3 linked regions of the Saccharomyces cerevisiae S288C genome follow. The main gene of each other region encodes a partner of the protein of the gene in region 2 in a complex. Each region holds a gene or a part of one and is shown on either strand. Other genes may lie near its edges. A codon is read from its position in the direction of its gene.

Evidence for each region.
Region 1: the proteins of COB (region 2) and QCR8 are in contact, whole or in part, in a crystal structure (PDB 4PD4), measured with the Saccharomyces cerevisiae proteins. Residues at the interface, in NP_009315.1 of Saccharomyces cerevisiae: Ser15 (codon at 3,876), Asp19 (codon at 3,888), Ser20 (codon at 3,891), Pro21 (codon at 3,894), Pro109 (codon at 4,158), His202 (codon at 8,232), Ile203 (codon at 8,235), His204 (codon at 8,238), Gly205 (codon at 8,241), Asn215 (codon at 8,271), Leu216 (codon at 8,274), Arg218 (codon at 8,280), Ile219 (codon at 8,283), Pro220 (codon at 8,286), Val320, Lys323, Phe324, Phe327, Ile328, Phe331, Asn332, Leu335, Gln338, Cys342, Glu345, Val346, Pro347, Tyr348, Met351, Ile354; in NP_012369.1 of Saccharomyces cerevisiae: Thr8 (codon at 2,223), Tyr9 (codon at 2,226), Met10 (codon at 2,229), Gly11 (codon at 2,232), Trp12 (codon at 2,235), Trp13 (codon at 2,238), Met16 (codon at 2,247), Gly17 (codon at 2,250), Gly18 (codon at 2,253), Pro19 (codon at 2,256), Gln21 (codon at 2,262), Gln55 (codon at 2,364), Tyr58 (codon at 2,373), Val59 (codon at 2,376), Ile61 (codon at 2,382), Pro62 (codon at 2,385), Ala63 (codon at 2,388), Ile65 (codon at 2,394), Tyr66 (codon at 2,397), Trp69 (codon at 2,406), Trp70 (codon at 2,409), Gly73 (codon at 2,418), Asn74 (codon at 2,421), Tyr76 (codon at 2,427), Asn77 (codon at 2,430), Leu80 (codon at 2,439), Tyr81 (codon at 2,442), Asn93 (codon at 2,478).
Region 3: the proteins of COB (region 2) and CYT1 are in contact, whole or in part, in a cryo-EM structure (PDB 6T15), measured with the Saccharomyces cerevisiae proteins. Residues at the interface, in NP_009315.1 of Saccharomyces cerevisiae: Tyr28 (codon at 3,915), Phe62 (codon at 4,017), Ser63 (codon at 4,020), Glu66 (codon at 4,029), Met69, Arg70 (codon at 4,041), Asp71 (codon at 4,044), Asn74 (codon at 4,053), Tyr76 (codon at 4,059), Ile77 (codon at 4,062), Tyr80 (codon at 4,071), Asp217 (codon at 8,277), Ile219 (codon at 8,283), Ser223 (codon at 8,295), Tyr224 (codon at 8,298), Phe225 (codon at 8,301), Phe227 (codon at 8,307), Lys228 (codon at 8,310), Val231 (codon at 8,319), Phe234 (codon at 8,328), Leu235 (codon at 8,331), Met237 (codon at 8,337), Leu238 (codon at 8,340), Ala241 (codon at 8,349), Leu242 (codon at 8,352), Val244 (codon at 8,358), Phe245 (codon at 8,361), Tyr246 (codon at 8,364), Ser247 (codon at 8,367), Pro248 (codon at 8,370); in NP_014708.1 of Saccharomyces cerevisiae: Met62 (codon at 2,154), His67 (codon at 2,169), Pro81 (codon at 2,211), Arg109 (codon at 2,295), Val110 (codon at 2,298), Arg113 (codon at 2,307), Tyr154 (codon at 2,430), Ser178 (codon at 2,502), Leu179 (codon at 2,505), Lys182 (codon at 2,514), Ala183 (codon at 2,517), Arg184 (codon at 2,520), His185 (codon at 2,523), Cys258 (codon at 2,742), Ala259 (codon at 2,745), Pro261 (codon at 2,751), Glu262 (codon at 2,754), Glu265 (codon at 2,763), Arg266 (codon at 2,766), Lys267 (codon at 2,769), Leu269 (codon at 2,775), Gly270 (codon at 2,778), Leu271 (codon at 2,781), Thr273 (codon at 2,787), Val274 (codon at 2,790), Leu277 (codon at 2,799), Ser278 (codon at 2,802), Leu280 (codon at 2,808), Tyr281 (codon at 2,811), Ser284 (codon at 2,820).

What each region holds. Positions count from the first base shown.
Region 1 is NC_001142.9:104,233-107,218, forward strand, and holds QCR8 (ubiquinol--cytochrome-c reductase subunit 8), read left to right. Parts: upstream 1-2,201; coding exon 2,202-2,486; downstream 2,487-2,986. Other genes in the region: histone methyltransferase SET2, read right to left, coding at 1-196; ERG20 (bifunctional (2E,6E)-farnesyl diphosphate synthase/dimethylallyltranstransferase), read left to right, coding at 782-1,840; protein kinase HAL5, read right to left, coding at 2,662-2,986. UniProt on the Saccharomyces cerevisiae protein: Component of the ubiquinol-cytochrome c oxidoreductase, a multisubunit transmembrane complex that is part of the mitochondrial electron transport chain which drives oxidative phosphorylation.
Region 2 is NC_001224.1:32,707-44,191, forward strand, and holds COB (cytochrome b), read left to right. Parts: upstream 1-3,833; coding exon 3,834-4,248; intron 4,249-5,016; coding exon 5,017-5,030; coding exon of another isoform or gene 5,031-5,873; intron 5,874-6,434; coding exon 6,435-6,511; coding exon of another isoform or gene 6,512-7,559; intron 7,560-8,134; coding exon 8,135-8,384; coding exon of another isoform or gene 8,385-9,545; intron 9,546-9,801; coding exon 9,802-9,852; intron 9,853-10,590; coding exon 10,591-10,941; downstream 10,942-11,485. Other genes in the region: intron-encoded RNA maturase bI4, read left to right, coding at 3,834-4,248, 5,017-5,030, 6,435-6,511, 8,135-9,545; cytochrome b mRNA maturase bI3, read left to right, coding at 3,834-4,248, 5,017-5,030, 6,435-7,559; cytochrome b mRNA maturase bI2, read left to right, coding at 3,834-4,248, 5,017-5,873. UniProt on the Saccharomyces cerevisiae protein: Component of the ubiquinol-cytochrome c oxidoreductase, a multisubunit transmembrane complex that is part of the mitochondrial electron transport chain which drives oxidative phosphorylation.
Region 3 is NC_001147.6:445,469-448,868, forward strand, and holds CYT1 (ubiquinol--cytochrome-c reductase catalytic subunit CYT1), read left to right. Parts: upstream 1-1,970; coding exon 1,971-2,900; downstream 2,901-3,400. Other genes in the region: 60S ribosomal protein uL3 RPL3, read left to right, coding at 1-381; YNG1 (Yng1p), read right to left, coding at 611-1,270. UniProt on the Saccharomyces cerevisiae protein: Component of the ubiquinol-cytochrome c oxidoreductase, a multisubunit transmembrane complex that is part of the mitochondrial electron transport chain which drives oxidative phosphorylation.

The sequences.
Region 1 (2,986 bases), on a different chromosome or scaffold from region 2:
TGAAATCATTATTCTTAAATGTTCCGATCCTCTTGTTCGCATATATACAGTCATCCAAGTTTTCAAATTTGGTCAATGCTTCCTCTGTGAGATCAGGCTCTTGATCAAAAAGCCTTTGAGGTTTATGGCCCTCAGCGTTGTTATTCAGTATTTCTTTTTCATCTTCCGACGCACTCACACTTTGGTTCTTCGACATGATCACGTAAAACAACAACCAGGAAAGGAGAAAGGTTTGACAGCACGACTATGCAGTTTTCTATCACACGTTCGAAAGCCCCTTTGAAAAGCTGCCAACGTGACCTTACGTTCTGATAAATAACCACCAAATTACCAATAATTCTAATAGTTTCTTGGAATTTTTCACATGTTTGCAGTGAATAAAAAAAAAAAAACGTTAAAGGTGATATTGATCACGTGACAAATCTGTAAAAGTACGGATACTGTCCTTATTACTGCGATATACAGTGTGAGGTATTCTAAGCGGTATATTCACCGTCCTCTACACATATTTTAAATACTGATGAAGTGACAAGCAATATCATTGAGCATTCTTTTTTCAATAGTCGAAGTCAGCTTCTTCTCGTCGGTTCTAAACGAAACGCCTTGTTGAAAAAGACCGATAAATAGAGGAAGCAACGGCAGGAAATATATATAAACGCATGTCGAAACTAATACTTTATGATAGATTGTTCTTCTATCAGTTTTCATTTTAACTTTAAAAACTCAACCAACAGGTATTGGACTGACATAGGCACAATAAACTCAAAAATATTACGTAGAAATGGCTTCAGAAAAAGAAATTAGGAGAGAGAGATTCTTGAACGTTTTCCCTAAATTAGTAGAGGAATTGAACGCATCGCTTTTGGCTTACGGTATGCCTAAGGAAGCATGTGACTGGTATGCCCACTCATTGAACTACAACACTCCAGGCGGTAAGCTAAATAGAGGTTTGTCCGTTGTGGACACGTATGCTATTCTCTCCAACAAGACCGTTGAACAATTGGGGCAAGAAGAATACGAAAAGGTTGCCATTCTAGGTTGGTGCATTGAGTTGTTGCAGGCTTACTTCTTGGTCGCCGATGATATGATGGACAAGTCCATTACCAGAAGAGGCCAACCATGTTGGTACAAGGTTCCTGAAGTTGGGGAAATTGCCATCAATGACGCATTCATGTTAGAGGCTGCTATCTACAAGCTTTTGAAATCTCACTTCAGAAACGAAAAATACTACATAGATATCACCGAATTGTTCCATGAGGTCACCTTCCAAACCGAATTGGGCCAATTGATGGACTTAATCACTGCACCTGAAGACAAAGTCGACTTGAGTAAGTTCTCCCTAAAGAAGCACTCCTTCATAGTTACTTTCAAGACTGCTTACTATTCTTTCTACTTGCCTGTCGCATTGGCCATGTACGTTGCCGGTATCACGGATGAAAAGGATTTGAAACAAGCCAGAGATGTCTTGATTCCATTGGGTGAATACTTCCAAATTCAAGATGACTACTTAGACTGCTTCGGTACCCCAGAACAGATCGGTAAGATCGGTACAGATATCCAAGATAACAAATGTTCTTGGGTAATCAACAAGGCATTGGAACTTGCTTCCGCAGAACAAAGAAAGACTTTAGACGAAAATTACGGTAAGAAGGACTCAGTCGCAGAAGCCAAATGCAAAAAGATTTTCAATGACTTGAAAATTGAACAGCTATACCACGAATATGAAGAGTCTATTGCCAAGGATTTGAAGGCCAAAATTTCTCAGGTCGATGAGTCTCGTGGCTTCAAAGCTGATGTCTTAACTGCGTTCTTGAACAAAGTTTACAAGAGAAGCAAATAGAACTAACGCTAATCGATAAAACATTAGATTTCAAACTAGATAAGGACCATGTATAAGAACTATATACTTCCAATATAATATAGTATAAGCTTTAAGATAGTATCTCTCGATCTACCGTTCCACGTGACTAGTCCAAGGATTTTTTTTAAGCCAATGAAAATGAAGAAATGCGTGATCGGAAATTACGGGTAGTACGAGAAGGAAACTTGAGCCACCCCCCAAATTTTATTCATATAATAATAGGAAAAGCAACGACCTCATCTCTCGAACATTGTTTACTTGAGCAAGTCCGATTAAGAGTAAGTTGTCGTACGTTAAATACAAATAATCAACAAAACACTACACAAAAACTTCTACGATAATGGGTCCTCCAAGCGGTAAAACTTACATGGGATGGTGGGGTCACATGGGTGGTCCAAAGCAAAAAGGTATAACCTCATATGCTGTGTCTCCATATGCTCAAAAGCCATTACAAGGTATTTTCCATAACGCTGTATTCAATAGTTTTAGAAGATTTAAGTCTCAATTTCTATATGTATTAATACCTGCGGGAATTTATTGGTACTGGTGGAAGAACGGTAACGAGTATAATGAATTTCTGTACAGCAAAGCTGGTAGAGAAGAGCTGGAAAGAGTTAATGTTTAATATTGTTTCCATGCCTCTACATTACATCGATCTTTTGATCTTCTAAAAACTTACATATATATTCTGTTTATAAAACAAGAGCAAATAACCCCCATATATTTATTCAGTCAGTCTATTTATTTACTTACAGTATCAGTAATAATAAATACTTAAGCATTTTTTGTTTTGTATATCTTTATTTACTAACCTTGGTATGTAAGTGTCTATAAACTACACAGCATTTTGTTTTCCTCATCCAGGAGCTTTGTAGTAATTGTTCAATGGTGATTCTCTTCGTGGGGTCGACCTGGAACGTTCTATATAGTGCAATTTTCCTCAACCTATTCAGTTCGCTACTAACATGTCTTAATTCCTCAAATAGATAAAACTGTCCATCATCTTTAATTTCACTGAGAAATGATTTAAAAAGAGAATCCTTTTCAGGAATGGCGATTTTCCAAAGATACTGTCCCATGACCATTGTACAGTAAACAATACCACAACTCCAACAATCTACCAGA
Region 2 (11,485 bases):
AATATATAAATAATATATTATATATAAAATAAAATAAAATAAATAATATATTAAAAATATTGAAAGTATTTTAATAAATAATAAATTTAAAATTCATATTTATAATAATAAATAAATAAATAAATAAATAAGTAAATATTTAGATTCTCATTAATATTAATATTTATATTTCTTTTTTTTTATAATAATAAAAATATCATATATAAATATAATATAATATAATATAATAAATTATTATATATAAATAATAAATATTAAATATAATATATAATAATATATAATCTTACAATTTATAATTTAATAAAGAAGGAAATAAATAATAATAACTCCTTTTGGGGTTCCGGTGGGGTTCACACCTTTATAAATAATAAATAAAGATGTTTACTCCTCTTCGGGGTTCCGGTCCCCTTTTTGGGTTCCGGAACTAATTAATATTTTATATAATAATAATAATATATTAATATAATTTCATTATTAATAAATATCTCCTGCGGGGTTCGGTTCCCCCCCGTAAGGGGGGGGTCCCTCACTCCTTCGGAGCGTACTATTATTATAAATAATTATATATTATAATATAATTAAAAAGTATTATAATTGAAACGAAAATTGTAATTTTAAATGGAATAATAATTATTATATATTTAATATATTTAATAAAGTTATAATATCTCTTTCTACCGGACTATTTTATTTTATTTTATTTTATTTTTATAAAGAAAAATAGTAATAATATTATCTTCTCCTCCTTTCGGGGTTCCGGTTCCCGTGCCGGGCCCCGGAACTATTAATTATATAATATAATATAATATAATATAATATAATATGATACGGATCAAACATTACCCGTTGTTCACTGGCAATGTTTAATCCTATTGTATATAAATATAATAAAATAATTATCCCTCTCGTAATACATATATAAAATATAAAATATAAAATAAAAATATTATGATTATTATAATATATATATATATATATATAAATATATATATATAATTTATAATTTATATGATTAATATATTATATATATAAAAAATATATTAAATTTACTTTTTATAGAAAGGAGTGAGGGACCCCCCCCCCTTACGGGGGGGAACCGAACCCCGCAGGAGATATTTATTTTAATACTTATATAGTATTTATTAATAATATAATAATTGTTATTATAAATATTAATAATAATATAAAAATAGGGTAAATAATATAAATAATATGAATAAATATAAAAACATATTAAATATAAAATATATCATAAATTTAATAAATATTATAATAATTTATAAATGATAGATATCTGGGGTCCTATAAATAATAATTATTTTCAATAATTATAGGGACCCCCACCTATTATATAAATATAAATATAAATATAAATATAAATACAAATATAAATATATAAATATATAAATATAATATAAATACAAATATAATATATAAATATAAATATAAATATATAAATATAAGTCCCCGCCCCGGCGGGGACCCCGAAGGAGTGAGGGACCCCTCCCTATACTAATGGGAGGGGGACCGAACCCCGAAGGAGTATAAATAAAAATTAATAATATATATATAATTATAATAGTTCCGGGGCCCGGCCACGGGAGCCGGAACCCCGAAAGGAGAAATAATAATATAATATATAATAAAATATAACTTATTAATATAATATTAAAAATATAATTAACAAGAATAAATAGTCCGTGGGATCGAACCCCCTTTTTTATTTAATATTTAATATTTAAAGAAGGAATTGTTTATATATATTAATATCTTATTTGGGGATTAATATAATATATAAGTTTTGGATACCAGGCCAAAGACCGGAATCCCAAAAGGAGATTATATAAATATTATTTATCTCCCTTTTTTAATATTATAATAATTTTATTAAAAATAAAATAATAATAATAATTATAATTTATAATAACAATTATAATAATTTAATTAATTAATTAATTAATTAATTAATTAATTAATTAATTAATAATAAATATAAATATAAAAAGAATATAATTTATAATAAATAAATTTATATATATATATATATATTAAATAAAATATTTACTTCATTAATATAAAATATAAATATATTTAATTAATAAGTATATATATATAATAATATATAATAACCTATTTATATATATAATCTTAATATAATTATAAGAAATATTATATAAGTAATATATAAAAATAATATAAAATAATTATAATTCAATTTATATATTAATAGTTCCGGGGCCCGGCCACGGGAGCCGGAACCCCGAAAGGAGGAATAAGATAAATATATAAATTATATTAATAAATATAAATTTTAAATGAATTAATAAAATTAATATATATATGTATATATATATATATATTAAAAATATTTAATTATTTTTAGGAAGGAGTGATAGATCCCTTTGGGGGACCGAACCCCTATTTAAGAAGGAGTGCGGGACCCCGTGGGAACCGAACCCCTTTTTTATTTAAAGAAGAAGTTTTATTTTATTTTATTTTATTTTATTTTATTTTATTTTATTTTATTTTATTTTATTTTATTTAATTTAATTTTAATTAGGTTAATAAATAGTAATAATAAACTTAATAATAATAATAATAATTTTATTTTTATAATTTATTAATAATAATAATAATTATATATATATATATTATTAATAAATATAGACCTTATCGTCTAATGGTTACGACATCACCTCTTCATGTTGATAATATCGGTTCGATTCCGATTAAGGTTATTCATAATAATAAATATTTGTAAAAAAAGTATATATAATTAAACATATTCTTTATATTAATTAATAATTATTAATAATATACATTTTATATAATACAATTATATATATATATATATTTTTTTTTAATACAAATAATATATTCATAATAATAAATACCGATTGTTATTATACTATAATAAAATATATAATATATTTTTCATTATAATATTTTTAAATAAATATTATAATAAATTATATAAATAATATTTATGTATAATAATAATAATAATAATTGTTATTAATTAATTCTATAATTATTATATATTTAATTTTTTTTTTTAATATAATATATAATAATATAATTTATTTTATTTTTTTTTATAGTTCCGGGGCCCGGTCACGGGAGCCGGAACCCCGAAAGGAGAATATAAATTAATAATAATATAAATAACATATTAACAATAAATTATTGTTAATATAATAATAATAATAACAATATTAATAAATAATATAAAAATTATTAATATTATATTTATATAATATTAATATAAAAATCTTTCATAATATTAATTATTATTAAATAATAATGATATCATTAATATTAATATAATCGTCAATATTATTTATTTATTTATTTATTTATTTATTTATTTATTTATTTATTATTAAATAAATATTTTTAAATATTATATTATATTATTAACTTTTTATTAAAAAAATTAATAATGATATAATATAATTAATATTATCCACGGGACCAATGACCAACCCAGTAGTTGACCGGATTGGCGCCCGCGAGGTTTATATTTAATAAATAATAATAATAATATTAATAAAATCTATTAACTTTTTTTTTTAATGGATTATATTAATGAAAAAAAAATGAGAAATATCTTTTTTTTTTAATAATTATAATTTATATATAATAAAATATGTATATATAATAAAAAAATAGTTTTTAATATTATAATATAATTATATATATAATTATAAATATATATATATATAATAAGTATTAATTAATAATATATATTTATATATTTTTTATTAATTAATATATATAAAATATTAGTAATAAATAATATTATTAATATTTTATAAATAAATAATAATAATATGGCATTTAGAAAATCAAATGTGTATTTAAGTTTAGTGAATAGTTATATTATTGATTCACCACAACCATCATCAATTAATTATTGATGAAATATGGGTTCATTATTAGGTTTATGTTTAGTTATTCAAATTGTAACAGGTATTTTTATGGCTATGCATTATTCATCTAATATTGAATTAGCTTTTTCATCTGTTGAACATATTATAAGAGATGTGCATAATGGTTATATTTTAAGATATTTACATGCAAATGGTGCATCATTCTTTTTTATGGTAATGTTTATGCATATGGCTAAAGGTTTATATTATGGTTCATATAGATCACCAAGAGTACTATTATGAAATGTAGGTGTTATTATTTTCATTTTAACTATTGCTACAGCTTTTTTAGGTTATTGTTGTGTTTATGGACAGAGTGAGACAAGTATAAGTATATTATTATAATATCATACCATTAAATAAATTATTTTAATGAAATGATTATGTTTATATATAACATATACCTAATTAGACATGCATTATTAGTAATAATTTTGTATGAAACTCTAATAATAATAATTATTATTAATTATTAAGGTAAGATTCATATGGATAGCGTAAGTCAATCTAATATTATAAAATATCGTAACATAAACAATATTTTTTTCTATTATTAATTAATAAATAATAATAAATAAAAATAATTATATGAGAAGTAAGATATTCAATTCTGTCTAGAATACATATATATACGTTAATACTCATCGGTATAAAATTAGAATCCTAAGTGAATTATTGAAAGTATAATAATATAAACTTGGTAAGCCCAATTATTTCCATATAATATTAATATAAATATTATATGGTAGTTATATATAATATTATTAAATAAATAATAATAGAAATTATAATATAGATAAGTGGGTAAAAGACTATTGAAAAAGCTAAAGATTATATGTAATGTATAATATAGATCAAATTATTTATATATTTTAATAAAAATATATTAATAATGGTTAATATTATTATTAATTAATTAATTAATTAATTAATAATAATAACGAATAAATGATTAATGTGAAAGCATGCTAACTTCAATATAGGATGATTTATATAGTATATAAATTGTTTGAGCTGTATACTATGAAAGTAGTACGTACAGTTCTGAGTGGGGGAAAATTTGTAAAGATCTACCTATCACAATTGTCACATTGAGGTAATATAAATATCGCCTCAAATATATTTAATATAATAAAACTAATTTATATAATAATGTTAATATTATTAATTTATATTTTTTATACGATTATAATAAGACAAATAATAAAAACTAAAGAATATCTTATATTAATTAAGAGTATAGATTATATTAATAAAAATAAATATATAATTAATTTAAATATAACAAATAAGAAAGATATAAATAATAATATTGGTCCATTAAATATAAACATTTTATCAATTATTTATGGTTCAATATTAGGAGATGGTCATGCTGAAAAAAGAAAAGGTGGTAAAGGAACAAGAATTGTATTTCAACAAGAATATTGTAATATTAATTATTTATATTATTTACATAGTTTATTAGCTAATTTAGGTTATTGTAATACTAATTTACCTTTAATTAAAACTAGATTAGGTAAAAAAGGTAAAATTAGACAATATTTAAAATTTAATACATGAACTTATGATTCATTTAATATGATTTATTCAGAATGGTATATTAAAAATATATCTGGAAAAGGTAATATTAAAGTTATTCCTAAATCTTTAGACAATTATTTAACTCCTTTAGCTTTAGCTATTTGAATTATAGATGATGGATGTAAATTAGGTAAAGGTTTAAAATTCACAACTAATTGTTTTAGTTATAAAGATGTTCAATATTTACTTTATTTATTACATAATAAATATAATATTAAATCTACTATTCTTAAAGGCAATAAAGAAAATACACAATTTGTTATTTATGTATGAAAAGAATCTATACCTATTTTAACTAAAATTGTATCTCCTTATATTATTCCTAGTATAAAATATAAATTAGGTAATTATTTATAATAAAATATATAGTATTATATTAATTATTATATTATTATAATGCGATATTATTGAAAACATGTCAAAATTATATTATTAAGTAACAAGACAGTGGGTTATATAATTATATGATCCCAACAGAATACACCAATAATAGGTATTATTATAAAAAAAATAATAATATTTAATGTTTATTCGAAGAAAATTTATAATATTATTATTATAACACAAGGTTTAATAATCTATATATATATATTATATATATAACTACTGTTATTATTCCATTTACCTAATTAATATATAAATAATGAATTATAATTATTATGATTAATATTTTTATAATAATAACCCCATCATAACATTTATATATAACATTTATATATAACATTTATATATAATATTTATATTATGGTATTATTAGGTATAAATATTTATTCATAAGAGAAAATAGTGATTAAATGGAATTATAAAAAGGGTAGATATTATTAAATACAGGGTATTATTTATATTAATAAATCAATAAATATTGAGATTATTATTATTAAAAAATAATAATAATTTATAAATAATATTATTTTCTTGGCACTAGTTATTACTAATTTATTCTCAGCAATTCCATTTGTAGGTAACGATATTGTATCTTGATTATGAGGTGGGTTTAATATAGAGGATCCATATTATAGTAATATAATATTAAATAAATCTGTTTTATGCTGAAATATCTTCATTTGAATAATAAATTACTATATTATTCAATTAATTATTTATAATAATATAATTTGAAATAAAAATAATATAGTTAAAATATTTATTATAAGAAGAAAATTAGCAGTAATTAATATATATATATATATAAAATTAATTATTCAGAGACTTTATAGTTATTATATAAATAATACTATTATTTATGATAAAAATCATAAATTAAACACAGATAATCCTATTTATGCATATATTGGTGGTTTATTTGAAGGAGATGGTTGAATTACTATTTCAAAAAAAGGTAAATATTTATTATATGAATTAGGTATTGAAATACATATTAGAGATATTCAATTATTATATAAAATTAAAAATATTTTAGGTATTGGTAAAGTAACAATTAAAAAATTAAAAATAAAAGATGGTACTATTAAAGAAATATGTAAATTTAATGTAAGAAATAAAAATCATTTAAAGAATATTATTATTCCTATTTTTGATAAATATCCTATATTAACTAATAAACATTATGATTATTTATATTTTAAAGATAATTTATTAAAAGATATTAAATATTATAATGATTTATCTTATTATTTACGTCCTATTAAACCATTTAATACTCTTGAAGATATTTTAAATAAAAATTATTTTTCTTCATGATTAATTGGTTTTTTTGAAGCTGAAAGTTGTTTTAGTATTTATAAACCTATAAATAAAAAAATAAAACTTGCTAGTTTTGAAGTATCTCAAAATAATAGTATAGAAGTTATATTAGCTATTAAATCATATTTAAAAATTACTCAAAATATTTATACAGATAAATTTAATAATTCAAGAATAACACTTAAAAGTATTAATGGTATTAAAAATGTTGTAATATTTATTAATAATAACCCTATTAAATTATTAGGTTATAAAAAATTACAATATTTATTATTCTTAAAAGATTTACGTCTTATTCTTAAATATAATAATTATTTTAAAATTCCTCCTAAATATTAATCTTATATAAAAATATAATAATAATATATTTATATATTATATAATTATATAAACAAAATATAATTTATATATAATTATTTATTATAAATATAGTCCGGCCCGCCCCGCGGGGCGGACCCCGGAGGAGTGAGGGACCCCTCCCTATTCTAACGGGAGGGGGACCGAACCCCGAAGGAGTTTAATTATATATTAAATATATTATTATCAATAAATAATTCCTTTGAACTATTTATTATTTTATTATATTTATTTTCTCCTTCATTATTAATTTTTATTAATAATTAAAATCTTATCATTTTATGGTATTTTTATTTCTATTTTAGGATATCGAAACTATAAATTAAAAAGTATAATTTTATTAATTATAATTTATGATTAATAAATAAGAAATAAAAACTTTAGAAGTAATATTTATCTTTTTTTTTTATAAATAAATATTATGATTAATATATAATCATTTATAAATATTTATATATAATTATATATATACATAAATAGGATTAAGATATAGTCCGAACAATATAGTGATATATTGATAATAGTTTTCAAATATGTAACTATTTAAACATTAAAAGCTCAGTATCTAACCCTCTAATCCAGAGATTCTTTGCGTTACATTATTTAGTACCTTTTATCATTGCTGCAATGGTTATTATGCATTTAATGGCATTACATATTCATGGTTCATCTAATCCATTAGGTATTACAGGTAATTTAGATAGAATTCCAATGCATTCATACTTTATTTTTAAAGATTTAGTAACTGTTTTCTTATTTATGTTAATTTTAGCATTATTTGTATTCTATTCACCTAATACTTTAGGTCAAAATATGGCCTTATTATTAATTACATATGTAATTAATATTTTATGTGCTGTATGCTGGAAATCTTTATTTATTAAATATCAATGAAAAATTTATAATAAAACTCTATATTATTTTATTATTCAAAATATTTTAAATACAAAACAATTAAATAATTTCGTATTAAAATTTAATTGAACAAAGCAATATAATAAAATAAATATTGTAAGTGATTTATTTAATCCCAATAGAGTAAAATATTATTATAAAGAAGATAATCAGCAGGTAACCAATATAAATTCTTCTAATACTCACTTAACGAGTAATAAAAAGAATTTATTAGTAGATACTTCAGAGACTACACGCACACTAAAAAATAAATTTAATTATTTATTAAATATTTTTAATATAAAAAAAATAAATCAAATTATTCTTAAAAGACATTATAGTATTTATAAAGATAGTAATATTAGATTTAACCAATGATTGGCCGGTTTAATTGACGGAGATGGTTATTTTTGTATTACTAAAAATAAATATGCATCTTGTGAAATTCTTGTAGAATTAAAAGATGAAAAAATGTTAAGACAAATCCAAGATAAATTTGGTGGTTCTGTAAAATTAAGATCAGGTGTTAAGGCTATTAGATATAGATTACAAAATAAAGAAGGTATAATTAAATTAATTAATGCCGTTAATGGTAATATTCGTAATAGTAAAAGATTAGTACAATTTAATAAAGTATGTATTTTATTAAATATCGATTTTAAAGAACCTATTAAATTAACTAAAGATAATGCTTGATTTATAGGGTTCTTTGATGCTGATGGTACTATTAATTATTATTATTCCGGTAAATTAAAAATTAGACCTCAATTAACTATTAGCGTTACAAATAAATATTTACATGATGTTGAATACTATAGAGAAGTATTTGGTGGTAATATTTATTTTGATAAAGCTAAAAATGGTTATTTTAAATGATCTATTAATAATAAAGAATTACATAATATTTTTTATCTTTATAATAAAAGTTGTCCTTCTAAATCTAATAAAGGTAAACGTTTATTTTTAATTGATAAATTTTATTATTTATATGATTTATTAGCTTTTAAAGCACCTCATAATACTGCTTTATATAAAGCTTGATTAAAATTTAATGAAAAATGAAATAATAATTAAATTTTCTCCGTATTCATTATTATATTATCTAATTTATAAAATATTTAAAGATTCCTTATAATAATATAACATCTTTGTAAATTATTGTTAAAGATAATATAAATTATTATGAATCGGTAGATTATATTTTTACAATCTTATTAAATAAAATTCTGATCATTAAACATGATTGAAGAAATAATAATAGTTTATGAAATAAGATAGTGTAATATAAATTTTTATGAAGATATAGTCCATTTTATATTTATTATAAAAGCATCCTGATAACTATATTCCTGGTAATCCTTTAGTAACACCAGCATCTATTGATATTAAAAATATTAATAAAATTATTATTATTTAATCTTATTTATTTTATATAAAAAAAATAAATAATAATTATTAATAAAAATATATTATTTATTTCTCCTTTCGGGGTTATTTATATATATTCCTTTATAATTTATATTTAATATATTATATTAAATATATGAAAAATTATAATAAATAAATTAATTAATTAATAATAAATAATAATAAAAAGTACAGTAGCATTAAATATTCTTAAGTTTCCGCTTTGTGGGAACTCCCATAAGGAGTTTAATGATTAAAATTGGTTAATTGTCAAGAAAATCTAAGGTATTAATAAATAAATAATACTATGACAACTTGCAGCGAAGTTTATATCATCTCTATATTATATATTAATATATATATATAATAATAATAATAATATTAATATAATATAAGATATAAAAACGTTCAACGACTAGAAAGTGAACTGAGATAGTAATACCTTTCCACGAAAACCAATTAATTTATAAATTATTTTTAAATAAAGAATAGATTATTAATTTTTTTTATATAGTTCCGGGCCCCGGCCACGGGAGCCGGAACCCCGGAAGGAGTAATATATATTATATATAAAATAAAAAATATATATATATATATTATAAAATATCAAAAGTTTTAATCTTTTATTATAAATTAATGACATAGTCTGAACAATAATGAAAATTATTGAGATAAGATATTAAATAATCTTATGTTAACATATATAAATTGTGTACCTGAATGATACTTATTACCATTCTATGCTATTTTAAGATCTATTCCTGATAAATTATTAGGAGTTATTCTAATGTTTGCAGCTATTTTAGTATTATTAGTTTTACCATTTACTGATAGAAGTGTAGTAAGAGGTAATACTTTTAAAGTATTATCTAAATTCTTCTTCTTTATCTTTGTATTCAATTTCGTATTATTAGGACAAATTGGAGCATGCCATGTAGAAGTACCTTATGTCTTAATGGGACAAATCGCTACATTTATCTACTTCGCTTATTTCTTAATTATTGTACCTGTTATCTCTACTATTGAAAATGTTTTATTCTATATCGGTAGAGTTAATAAATAATATATAATTAAATTAATACATAGATATAATATATATATTATTATTATTAATAATATAATAAAAATAAAAATAAAATTATTAATAATAATAATACTTTAATAATATTCTTAAAAATAATATATCTCTAATTTATAAAAATTAAATAATAATAATAAAAAAAAAATATTATAAAATATAAATTAATTAATAATGAAAATAATATACTTATTAAATTAATATAAATAAATGAATAATATAATATAACTATATTGAATTATAATCTATCTATCTTTTTTTTTCATATAATTATAATATATATATTAATATATATAATTATTATTTTATATATTATAGTTCCGGGGCCCGGTCACGGAAGCCGGAACCCCGCAAGGAGATTTATTAATTATTATTATCATTATTATTTTTTATTTAATCTTATTTATTATAAAATAATTAATTATCATAAAGCATAATTATTATAGAATCTTATTATTTTCTTTATTTAAATTTATAAAAATATAAAGTCCCCGCCCCCTTTTTATTTTATTTAATTAAGAAGGTATTT
Region 3 (3,400 bases), on a different chromosome or scaffold from region 2:
TGGAGTGTTGCCAGAGCTGGTCAAAGAGGTTACCATTCCAGAACCTCCATTAACCACAAGATTTACAGAGTCGGTAAGGGTGATGATGAAGCTAACGGTGCTACCAGCTTCGACAGAACCAAGAAGACTATTACCCCAATGGGTGGTTTCGTCCACTACGGTGAAATTAAGAACGACTTCATCATGGTTAAAGGTTGTATCCCAGGTAACAGAAAGAGAATTGTTACTTTGAGAAAGTCTTTGTACACCAACACTTCTAGAAAGGCTTTGGAAGAAGTCAGCTTGAAGTGGATTGACACTGCTTCTAAGTTCGGTAAGGGTAGATTCCAAACCCCAGCTGAAAAGCATGCTTTCATGGGTACTTTGAAGAAGGACTTGTAAGAAGTTTTGTTAGAAAATAAATCATTTTTTAATTGAGCATTCTTATTCCTATTTTATTTAAATAGTTTTATGTATTGTTAGCTACATACAACAGTTTAAATCAAATTTTCTTTTTCCCAAGTCCAAAATGGAGGTTTATTTTGATGACCCGCATGCGATTATGTTTTGAAAGTATAAGACTACATACATGTACATATATTTAAACATGTAAACCCGTCCATTATATTGCTTACTTTCTTCTTTTTTGCCGTTTTGACTTGGACCTCTGGTTTGCTATTTCCTTACAATCTTTGCTACAATACCATTTGCCCTTGGGAGCTTGTTTCAGGCCTACGCAACCATAATGGAACCACTCGAAGGGACAAGCCGGATTATCACAAGCCACCATTGGCCCATAAGATACATTCCTACAGAAACAATAAACCTCCTCTTGATTATTATTACCCTCTGTTACATCACCCTGGTTAATCCCAATTGTGGGGCTAGTTATGCTCTCTTTTCTTTCCCTCGATTTAGCCTTTTTCAAGTTAATCTTTAAAAGCAGTTTTGGCTCCTTATATGCTCCTGGTTCTTCTAACGTCAACTTCGACTTGATATTCTCTAGCGAAGAGTTGAAATTTTTTGTCACTGACTTCTGTATCTCTAGTTCCTTCTTATGCTGCTTTAAGAAATGAATCTGATCATCGACCAGATCATTAATATAAGTCGCTACCAGCAACAGATCCCTACAGGCCCTTTCCATACCAGGCTCATCCTCTTCATTCTTGAATAAGTCGATTGTTTGCATCAGTCGAAGAGATCTTATTAGTTCACATGGTAAATGATCCAAAGTGCTAAGGAAACTGTACCTGATATCCGAATCCGAGTTTTCGTTGGCGAGATGTTCCATTGCTGTAGACGAAAAAAACTTCCTTGTAAAGCGGATGTGCTAGCGCATCATACATTTCAGTTCTATTAAGACTTTCACAGATGCTGTTGTGATGTTCTGTGAGCCAATCCCAAATGTTTGTATAAGGACGGAAATAAGACGGAGCGCCACGTGACTGAAGATTTTTTTTTTCTCGGATTTCTTGGTAATGGGCGGCCGGTATTTCCGGCGGCCAAAAAATGCGAGGATTTGGTTGGTGGAGAGGGTCGAGCGCCTTTACCCTGCGTAGATACTAAGGGGGCTCTTTCTAGTATATAAACAATTTGAATAATAACGAGGTTAGACGTCCAACTGGATCCATAGACTATCTAAGCTTTTAGTAGAGGCCATTCGTTTTCTTATTAATCATCGGTTTCACAATCTTTCTTTGTTAAGCAACATTTTATACATTTTTGTACTTTATCTTCAAATATTAAGGACAAGAAAGAAAAAGAAAAAGAATCCATATTCTATATTAGTGTAACACTATTTTTCTTAAATATTTTTTCCAGTACTCCCCCAGTTTGATAAAAAGCATTCATTGAATTTCCCCACATTTGTGATATCTTCAATTGATTAGTTTGAACTAGTTCTGAAAAATAATATTTTACAATTTGCATTTTCATTACACTATATCATCTACTATTTTTTCTCAGAAGCGGAAGTTATAACTAATTTGACAATGTTTTCAAATCTATCTAAACGTTGGGCTCAAAGGACCCTCTCGAAAAGTTTCTACTCTACCGCAACAGGTGCTGCTAGTAAATCTGGCAAGCTTACTCAAAAGCTCGTTACAGCGGGTGTTGCTGCCGCCGGTATCACCGCATCGACTTTACTCTATGCAGACTCCTTAACTGCCGAAGCTATGACCGCAGCTGAACACGGATTGCACGCCCCAGCATATGCTTGGTCCCACAATGGGCCTTTTGAAACATTTGATCATGCATCCATTAGAAGAGGTTACCAGGTTTACCGTGAAGTTTGTGCCGCCTGCCATTCTCTTGACAGAGTTGCTTGGAGAACTTTGGTTGGTGTTTCTCATACCAACGAAGAGGTTCGTAATATGGCCGAAGAATTTGAATACGATGACGAACCTGATGAACAAGGTAACCCTAAAAAGAGACCAGGTAAGTTGTCCGATTACATCCCTGGCCCATACCCAAACGAACAGGCTGCAAGAGCTGCCAATCAAGGTGCCTTGCCACCTGATCTATCTTTGATCGTGAAAGCTAGACACGGTGGTTGTGACTACATTTTCTCTTTGTTGACCGGTTATCCTGATGAACCTCCTGCTGGTGTGGCTTTACCACCAGGTTCTAATTATAACCCTTACTTCCCAGGTGGTTCCATTGCAATGGCAAGAGTCTTGTTTGATGACATGGTTGAGTACGAAGATGGTACCCCCGCAACGACATCTCAAATGGCAAAGGACGTTACCACCTTTTTAAACTGGTGTGCCGAACCTGAACATGACGAAAGAAAGAGATTGGGTTTGAAAACGGTGATAATCTTATCATCTTTGTATTTGCTATCTATCTGGGTGAAGAAGTTCAAATGGGCCGGTATCAAAACCAGAAAATTCGTTTTCAATCCACCAAAACCAAGAAAGTAGTTGACAAAAAAATGAAAACCACTATTATTTAAATTACGGAAAAAAAAAAACCAATAAACAAAAAACATAATAAAAGAAATGAAAAAAAAGAATATTAGTAGAGCATACTGAATTGTTTTCAGAAAGAGAGTGAAAGGTAACAAAAATTTACCTACTTTTCCTTTTTATTTCTCTGGTTTCGTTTCTTTTTTTTCGGCCACCCTATTTATTTTTTCACTGCTTGTAAACAACGTCTCACTTCAATAGTGTCTCCTTCATGTACTGAGATACTGCTGCAAGCGAAATATCACGAATAATAATATAAAAAAAAAAAAAAAAAAAAAAAAAGATGTTTAAATGTTAACAACCTAACAGCAATAAAAAATAAAAATAAAGGTAGAAGATTGCAAGAAAGAAACTTTACAATATTTTGTTTGGATGCCCAACACCGGCGTCTTGGTGTTCTTCTATAATATTTATTTTATTTATTTTTTATTTATATATGTACATATATATTCCTA